2 linked regions of the Oryctolagus cuniculus genome follow. The protein of the gene in region 1 interacts with the protein of each later gene in a biochemical or structural test. Links are inferred from orthologs where the notes say so. Each region holds a gene or a part of one and is shown in the gene's direction. Other genes may lie near its edges.

Region 1 (4,509 bases):
GAGAGAAGTAGCAGATGAAAGATTTCTCCATCTCTCTCTCTCTCTCACCTTCTCTCTCTGTATTTCTCTGCCTTTCAAATAAATAAATAACTCTTTGAAAAAATGAAATAAAATAAGGGCTGGGGATGTGCCAGCAACCCATATAGGTGCTGTTTCCTGTCCCCGCTGCTCCCCTTCCAATTCAGCTCCCTGCTGATGGCCTGGGAAAGTAGTTAGAAGATGGCCCAAGTGCTTGGGCCCCTGCACCCACTTGGGAGACCTGGAAGAAACTCCTGGCTCCTTGCTTCAGATCAGCTCAGCTCTGGCCATTCCGGCCATTAGGAAGTAAACCAGCAGATGGAAGAACTTTGTCTCTCCCTCTCTTCATAACTTTATTTCTCAAATAAATAAATAAAATCTTAAAAAAAAAAAAGAAAAGGTTGGTGGCAACATTTGTTCCTTAGCTTTAGTCAGTACACTTTCCCCTTTCCTTTATGTTTTTGTTTTCTATGTATTTATTTTTGCATAGTTTGAAGTGTTGTTGTTCACTACCAAAAGTATTCTGACCAAGTCAGTACCCTTAAGCCTTCCAATATGAAATAAAACTAGTCAAGTGAATTGCATCAATAAGCCAAGAAAAATCTTTTTAAAGAACTTTTTTTAAAAAATTAATCTGAAAAACAGAAACAGATCTCCTATCTACTGGTTCACTCCCCTCAGTGCCTGCAGCAGCTGAGGCTGGGCCAAATAGGAGCCAGGAACTCAGTCTGGGTCTCCCACGTGAGTGGCAGAGATGCAACATCGTGAGCCATTTCATGCTATCTTCCAGCGTACACATTAGCAGAAAGCTAGCACTGGGCACCAGAGTGCACATTAGCAGAAAGCTAGCACTGGGCACAGAGCCGGGACTTGAACTCAGACCTTCCAATATGAGACACAGGCATCCCGGAGATGTATTTGCCACACTGTTTTTTAAAGTTTCATTAGAACATCAACACTATGGGTGGACTTCTGGCTAAGTGGTTAAGTTCCTATTTGGGATGCCCACATCCTATCAGAGTGCCTGGTTTTCCTGGCTGCTCTGCTCCTGATCCAATTTCCTGCTAAGGCACACCCTGGAAGGCAACAGATAATGCCCCAAGAACTTGGGTCCCTGCCACTCATGTGAGAAGCATGGATGAATTCCTGGCTCCTGGCTTCAATCTGGCCTAGCCCTGGCTGCTGACGGCATTTGAGAAGTGAGTCAGTGGACAAAAGATCTCCTCTGTCTCTCAATCCCCCACCCCCACCTCCACCTTTCAGATAAAATGAAGAGTAGTTTTTAAAAAGTTCTTTCTTTCTTATTTGAAAGGCAGAGTTACAGAGGGAGAGAGAGAGAGGCAGAGATAGCAAGATCCTCCAACCAATAGCTCACTCTCTAAATGGCAACAACAGCCCATTGGAAGCCAGGAGCTTCCTCCCCATCTCCCACATGGATGCATGGGCCCAAGATTTGGGTCATCCTCCCCTGTGGATCTTGCATTGGATGCCGGCACCTTAGGTGGTCCCAATACATAAATTTTATTATTTCTTTTTTTTAAAAAAAGATTATTTTATTTGAAAGGCAGAGTCACAGAGAAGTAGAAGCAGAGAGAGAGAGAGGTCTTCCATCTGCTGGTTCACTCTCCAGATGGCCACAATGGCTGGAGCTGGACTGATCCAAAGCCAAGAGCCAGGAGCTTCTTCTGGGTCTCCCACTTTGGTGCAGGGGCCCAAGGACTTGGGCCATCTTCCACTGCTTTCCCAGGCCATAGCAGAAAGCTGGATCAGAAGTTGGGCAGCCAGAACTCGAACCAGTGCCCATATGGGATGCCAGCACTGCAGGCGGCGGCCTCACCTGCTACACCACAGTGCCAGCCCCAATAACTACATTTTAAAAACTTAAAACACTAATACTATGCACTATGTACTACATTTCAGAATTGTGTGGCAGAATCTGCTAGAGCTGCTATTATACAATGACCAAGCAATGTACATCTCACAGAACTGTGTATTTATATGGAATGGTAGATATTCTCAAGAAAGACAAAAACTTCCCTGGTCGTAACTGCTCTGAACTGGAAACAATCCTAATATTACCACTGTGCTACTCAAATGGTCTATCATTCACAGCAACGATGTTTGGAGAGCAAAGAAGCCAGACACAAAGAATACATGCTGCTTTTTTAATGCATATAACATTTAAAAACAGGAAAAAAATACTATCTTTAAATATATTTATTGGAGAGATGGAGAGAGGAGAGGGGGAGGGCGAGGTAGGGGGAGGGGAGAAAGAGGGAGAGGAAAAGCAAGTGAGCTTCCATCAGCTGATACACTTCCAGAATGCCCAGAGCTGGAGCTGTGAACGCAATCCCCGTCTCACAGGTGTGGCAGGACCCCAATTACTTGAGAAACCATTGCTGCCTCCCAGCGTCTGCACTAGCAAGAACCTGGAGTCAGCAACTGGAACCCGAGAGTCGCTTTGCTCCTGTGATCTCAGAGAACGGGTTCTGCATCTCAGGGAGAACACGGCTGCTGCAGTGAACCTCCTCGGTACGCTCAGGTAACCTGACACAAGACGAAAGCATCCCACTGGCATCCTCACCGCTAAGTTAAACACCTCTTCCTCCATACAGTTTTTAAAGATTCCTTGTATTGCACAAATGTTTGATTTACAAAAGATCTATAAGAATCAGAAGGAAGATAAAAATTGTTTTTGTGCAGTAGGAAAATCCATCATGATAAAAAGACATTCAGAAAAAAAAAACCTTTAAATCTGATTAAATAAAACTAATTCTTAAGACCTCTTAAGACAGACGAGGAACAGTTGTAACCTTAAAAACAAAGTATTCACATACAGATTTTATAAGGAATTCAGAGGACACAAGTCAGTAACAAAAGAAATACCAAATAGGGCTTCTTTAAGAATAAAAACTATAGAAAATATATAGTATTAAATGATACACTATTAAATTGATAAAACTGTTAAAATCCAACAAAAGCAGGTGTGAAAAGGGTGTGGGGAGTTCTCAAATACTACTGTCTAGAACTTAAATTTTTACAGCAACTTTGGAGAGTACTTTGACAATATTTAAAGTAGACATACCCTATACACATAGAGAGAGCTAAGTCTTCAGGATATTGATAAACGTTTTTGAGAGTTATATAGAGCATGCAGAAAAAAGTTTTCCCACATAAAAATCCAAATAATGTAAAAAAATTATTTAAAGAATATACATCAAGCTGACTGATAATAGGAGAAAGCTACTTACTAGGAAAGAAAAATGGGACCAAATGTTCACTGACTATAACTGAAAATAGGATAACTTAACTTATATGACTTGTGAACTTAATTTTAAGGGGCAAAAAGAAAAGAGCAGAATGGCTCAGTTCTCAATATGTTGGCCTGCGTGTGGTTCGGAGACGTGGATTGAGAAGTCATTAGGGACTAGACGAAACCGTGGAGCAGGTGCGGTTGCCTGGGGGATGAGGAAGAGGAGCAGCAGGAGCGTTAACTGTGGTTAGGGAGGTATCTCCCAGTTTATAGCATCCTAAGTAGTATCGCGGCACAGCGAAGCAGAGCCCACGGAACGCTCTCGTACACACAGTCTCTAGCTGTGAGGTTTGAATCGGTGGACACACAGTCCACCGAGCCGCCCCGACATTCCCCGGGGAACGGCGAGCTCCCCGCCATAGCGGGGCGCCCAGCGGGAGGCGGCAACTGGGGGGCCACGCATGCGCCCCGAGTCCCGCGAAAGCAAGGCTTGTGCGCACGCGCACAACGGCGCAGCCGCGTCGCCCCTGTTTTGCTAAAAGCGCTTTGCTAGAACCTGAGCGGTTTCTACCATGTCGGCAATGGCAGAGCTGTCGGAGCTGTATGAAGAGTGCAACGACCTGCAGATGGATGTGATGCCCGGCGACGGGGACCTTCCGCAGATGGAGGTAGGCAGCGGGAGCCGGGAGCCGACCCCGAGTCCCTCCCGCAGCGGGGCCGCGCCACAGCTCGAAGAGGAAGGCCCGATGGAGGAGGAGGAGGGGGCGGCGGCCCAGCCAATGGCGGCGCCGGCGGGGAAACGCGGCCTGGCTCCCGGGCGCAGCCCTGGGGAGCAGCCCGGCCAGGTCGCGGGCCCGGACTTGGAGAGCGAGGACGAGGGCGAGGAATTTGATGACTGGGAGGACGACTACGACTATCCAGAAGAGGAGCCGCCGAGCGGCGCGGGCTACAGAGTGTCCGCGGCCCTGGAGGAAGCCAACAAGATGTTCCTGGGCACATCCCGAGCCAGAGAAGCAGCCCTGGATGGCGGCTTTCAGATGCATTATGAGAAGACCCCGTTCGACCAGTTAGCTTTTATTGAAGAGCTCTTCTCACTTATGGTTGTCAATCGTCTGACCGAGGAACTCGGTTGCGATGAGATTATCGATAGAGAGTAGCTGAATGCTGACCGGAGAGGAGGGACCCGACATTCCACTTGCTTTGGGGTTCGTTCCAGATAGGTTCTGTGCCAGTGAGAA
Region 2 (4,269 bases), on another chromosome or scaffold:
GAGCAGAGCACATCTTCCCGAGAGGGGCTCCTCTCGTGGCACCTGCTCTGCAAGGCCCCCGCGTGGGGTAGCCCGTGTCAGTGCCCATCCTAGAGAAACCTAGTCGGCCGGCCAGACTCCATTTCGTCAATAATAATCTTGCCAGCACTGCAACGTGGGAATGTTTTACTTCGCGGCCTGAGCGCAATCTCTTTGAAGTGCAAAAGGCAGGTGGAGTCCCTACCTCTCTGCTACCGTGGGAGTCCAGTAGGGGCACCATGTTCCCAGCTGGAACCACCTGCATCATAAAGACGTGAATGACTGGGCTATTCCTTGAGGCATAGGCACCCAGCTGGCACAGCGTGTCCTCTGTTGCCACAACGCCTTGGCTGGACTGGGAAAGAAGGAGGGGGTCAAGTTAGCCCAAACCTGGAGAGCTAGGGTGCACACTCCGCAGATGGCCTCCCACCATCCAGGAGAGTAACTGGGCTACTTCCACCTTCTCAGATTCCCACTCGGGGGGTTGGGGGACCCTCTATGGCAGCCTCTGTCTACTGACAGCAGATTGCTCCAGGAGGTCAAGGACCCCATTTTCCCTCAGGTCCGTATCCCCAGGGCACACAGCACAGGGTGCGGTACTGCACGGAGCTGAGTTTAAAACAAGGAAAAGGTGTAGGTGCCGGGAGTACAGCCACCCACGCTCCTCCAGGCTGCTCCGCTCTTGCCTGACTTAGAACCAGAGACGCCCACCTTTCCGAGCCTGCTTTTCCTTATCCGTGCAGTGGTTATAATTAGAGAACCTATCGTGGGAGACCAGAACATGCCTTCCCAAACTATGAAAGGGCGTCCTGCTGACGAGAAGCGCTGTCAGCCCTCCCTCCATGTGCCTGAAAGCAGGCGCTGCTAGGAGTTGTTACTCCCTGCAGTACTACAGAGGGCTCTGTTCATCACAGCGTCCTATAAAGAACGTGGTTTGGCACAGCAGATCCGGCGTTTAAGCCCCGGCTAGGGACGCCGGCATCCCATATCAGAGTGACGGGGGTTCGAGTCCCAGCTCCCTGCTAATGTTCAGCCCATTTAAAAACATTTTCTCAAAAAAAAAAAAAAAAAAAATGGAGGCCATTAGGTCCTGTTGCAGCCTCCCTGGCTCGGAGCTCAGCTCCCTTCTGCAGGAGCTGAGAGGGGGTGCGGCCAAGGGTGGGCGGGGCGCCGCAGGCCCCGCCCCCCGAGGCTGGTGGGCAGGGCGAAGAGGGACGCCCCCGGCGCGCTCGTGCGCGTGCGCGCGCCGCAGACCCCAGGTACGCGGACAAGATGGCGGCAGCAGCGGTGGACAGCGCGATGGAGGTGGTGCCCGCTCTGGCCGAGGAGAACGCGCCGGAGCCGGCGGGCCTCAGCTGCCTCGTCAACCTGCCGGGCGAGGTGCTGGAGTACATCCTGTGCAGCGGCTCGCTGACGGCCGCCGACATCGGCCGCGTCTCCAGCACCTGCCGGCGGCTGCGCGAGCTGTGCCAGAGCAGCGGGAAGGTGTGGAAGGAGCAGTTCCGGGTGAGGTGAGCCCACCGCCCCGCGCGCCGGGCCGGCCGCGGACCCCAGCTCGGGACCCCGCCCGCGGCCGCCAGACAAAGGCCTCGGGGCCGTCGGGGCCCCGCCGCGCCGCCCCCCCCACCCGGTGCCCAGATGGCGCGTCCGGGCGCGGGGTCCCCGCTCGGGGCCGCCGCCTCGCGCCGGGTGCGCTCTGCGCGCCTCTTTTGTGCCCGCCGCGGCGCGCGGTGTTTACAGCCCGGGCCGCGGGGGCGCGGCTGGCGGGGGTGGGGGGTGGCGGCGCGGGATGTCGATGCGGGGCTCCGGGTGGGATCCGGCCCTGCGGCGCCCCGGGGGTGACCTTGGGGCCGGCGGTTTCCCGGGCCGGGCCTCCTGCGTGGAAGGGTCGCGCGGTCCTCAGACCTCCTCGGCACCGGGAGGTTCTGATCGGGCGAGAGGATGCGTGGGACGCGCGCGCGCCATCCATGTTTACTGTCATTGTCATCGTTCTCGTCCCCGTCGTGTGGACCAGGGGGCCGGGGACACGGCCGTGGCGTCGCCACGCCAAGGGCACGGTGCGAGGCGGGGCGCGCGCGCGGGGTGGGGGTGGGGGGTCTGAGCTGGAGACCCTCCCCCCCGGGCCGAACCCGAGGCTGCCTGCGTGGCTCTCTGAAGCGGGGCCGGTGTGTCTCTCCCCGTAGGTGGCCTACCCTTATGAAACACTACAGCCCCACCGACTACGTCAATTGGTTGGAGGAATACAAAGTTCGGCAGAAGGCTGGCTTGGAAGCCCGGAAGATCGTGGCCTCGTTCTCCAAGAGGTTCTTTTCGGAGCACGTAAGCATCCGTGGACGTGGCCGCGAGCGCTGCGTGGCCGTGGGGTGTGTGCGTGGGGCTGGGGCTGCAGGCAGGCGCTCAGGTCCCTGCGTTCGCTTCCCCAGCTGCGAGAGAGTCATTGTGTCCCCTTCCTCCCATCCCTGCCAGCCTTACTTTCTAAAAAGCCAGAGGGAGAGAATGGGGCAGGAGGGAGTAGGGAGGTGTGCCTAGAGCGGATCCTCTGCCCAGCCTCCACCTAAAGTGGGGCATCATCATTGGTGATTGAGCTCTCTAGATCGCTCCCAGTTGTTTTCCCTAAAGGGCTGACGGAATGAATGCAATTCTGCTGTCTGGTGTTGCGGGTTCTACCTGGTGATGAACTGCATTATTTATCTATAAAAGGACAGAGAGTTACAAAGCTGTCTGTACATCAGAGTTGTAACTCCCTCGCATAAAATGACCTTGCAAAGGCTTTCTTTTCAATAGTGCCAAAATGCATGGTGGGTTTTTTTTTCTCACCCCCGAAATGTCTCCCAGAAGTTTCTGTATCCACTCCTAATGCTGAATTCTTTGCGTATCCAGACGACAACCCACTCTGATTTTCTGAACTTGTCTAATGATATTTATTTCTGGTCGGGGGTCCTAGAACGGGAGCCCACCTGTTTTATTTTACCAGCCTGGGTTTCTGAAGATTACTTCTGATTTTCTCACTTCATTACTACTAATGGAGTTCATACATTTGAAAGATTTTAAGGCTTCTCAAGTTTTGAAGAGGAAAATCTGAACTCTTTCTCCTTGTGGAGAATAAAAAATAGACCTTCCCTCGTGTCATTCCCTTCTGTAAACGTTTATTGGTGCAAGGAAGCGGACTTTATGTTGCACTTTGGAGAAGCCACGCCTGGGCTGACCGTGTCGGTCATCACAGACTGCGAGTCGTGGTGTGAAGCCTTGCACACAGCGTCCGGGCGCTGCGCAGCTTTGGTGCTGCTGGCCACGGGCTGCGAGGCTACGGCGTCCGCTGCTGCAGCAGCCGGTTGTGTGTGTGTGTGTGTGTGTGTGCGGTTTGAGCTTTCTCTGCCTTTGTCTGGTGATGAAGAATTGTGTTTGTTCCTTTGCTCCCCCTCTGCCTGTCCCATGCTTAATTAGAAGTATGTCAAGGACTTTGAACACAGCGGGAGTATACTTCAGACTGATCCGTGGGTGGGCGATTGGTTTGGCTCTGGACCCTTCTGTCCCTGCGTTCCCAGCATGCACACGGGCTGACCTGAAACATCCTGGCTGCTTTTACAAAGAAGAGGAGAAGTCATCTTAAAGTCTTAAATACCAGCAGGCTAGAGGAGTTGCCTCCTCCCTGGCTTATCTCGCTGGCCCTCTCTCCTGGTTGGTACAGCTGATCTGTGTGATGGGAACGCGTGATCCTGAGCTGTAGGACTTTGTAGCTGTAGTTCTGGTTACAGTTACTTTTCTTCGCCTTTCAGAAACTGCAGTCTATGGAAACACAATTAATTTACAAGTACCAGATGTGAACAGGTTAGGAGGAGAGTGTGGAATAGCTCCAAACAGGCACGTTTGTCGGCCACTCAGATGGGTGTTTGAGAGTGACAGCTGCGTTAGTACTCACGCTTGCGGCCTGTTGATGTCTGTCTTCCTCACAGGTTCCTTGTAACGGCTTCAGTGACATTGAGAATCTTGAGGGACCAGAGATATTTTTTGAGGATGAACTGGTGTGTATCCTGAATATGGAAGGAAGGTAAGCCTAGCTTTAGCAGGTTTTTTTTGTTGTTGTTTTTTGTTTTTTTTTTTTGTTTTAATAATAACCCCAGAAGGAATTGCTATAATGTGTGGCTGAACCCCGGAACATGTTTTGATATATAAGGAAACTTTGCAGAAATCCTTTCAGAAAGTAAAGGGGATTAACGTTTAGCTGTACTGTGGGTTATGTACTGCGCTTTG

Evidence for each region.
Region 2: of the proteins of EID1 (region 1) and FBXO21, one has a biochemical effect on the other in vitro, tested with the Homo sapiens proteins (2 studies listed by BioGRID, with this or other methods). The link is inferred for Oryctolagus cuniculus from reciprocal best matches to the Homo sapiens genes EID1 and FBXO21.

What each region holds. Positions count from the first base shown.
Region 1 is NC_091443.1:71,693,534-71,698,042, forward strand, and holds the start of EID1 (EP300-interacting inhibitor of differentiation 1), read left to right. Parts: upstream 1-1,543; 5' UTR 1,544-3,843; coding exon 3,844-4,428; 3' UTR 4,429-4,509. UniProt on the Homo sapiens protein: Interacts with RB1 and EP300 and acts as a repressor of MYOD1 transactivation. Inhibits EP300 and CBP histone acetyltransferase activity.
Region 2 is NC_091452.1:13,519,076-13,523,344, reverse strand, and holds the start of FBXO21 (F-box only protein 21), read left to right. Parts: upstream 1-1,234; 5' UTR 1,235-1,290; coding exon 1,291-1,529; intron 1,530-2,201; coding exon 2,202-2,337; intron 2,338-3,971; coding exon 3,972-4,066; intron 4,067-4,269. UniProt on the Homo sapiens protein: Substrate-recognition component of the SCF (SKP1-CUL1-F-box protein)-type E3 ubiquitin ligase complex.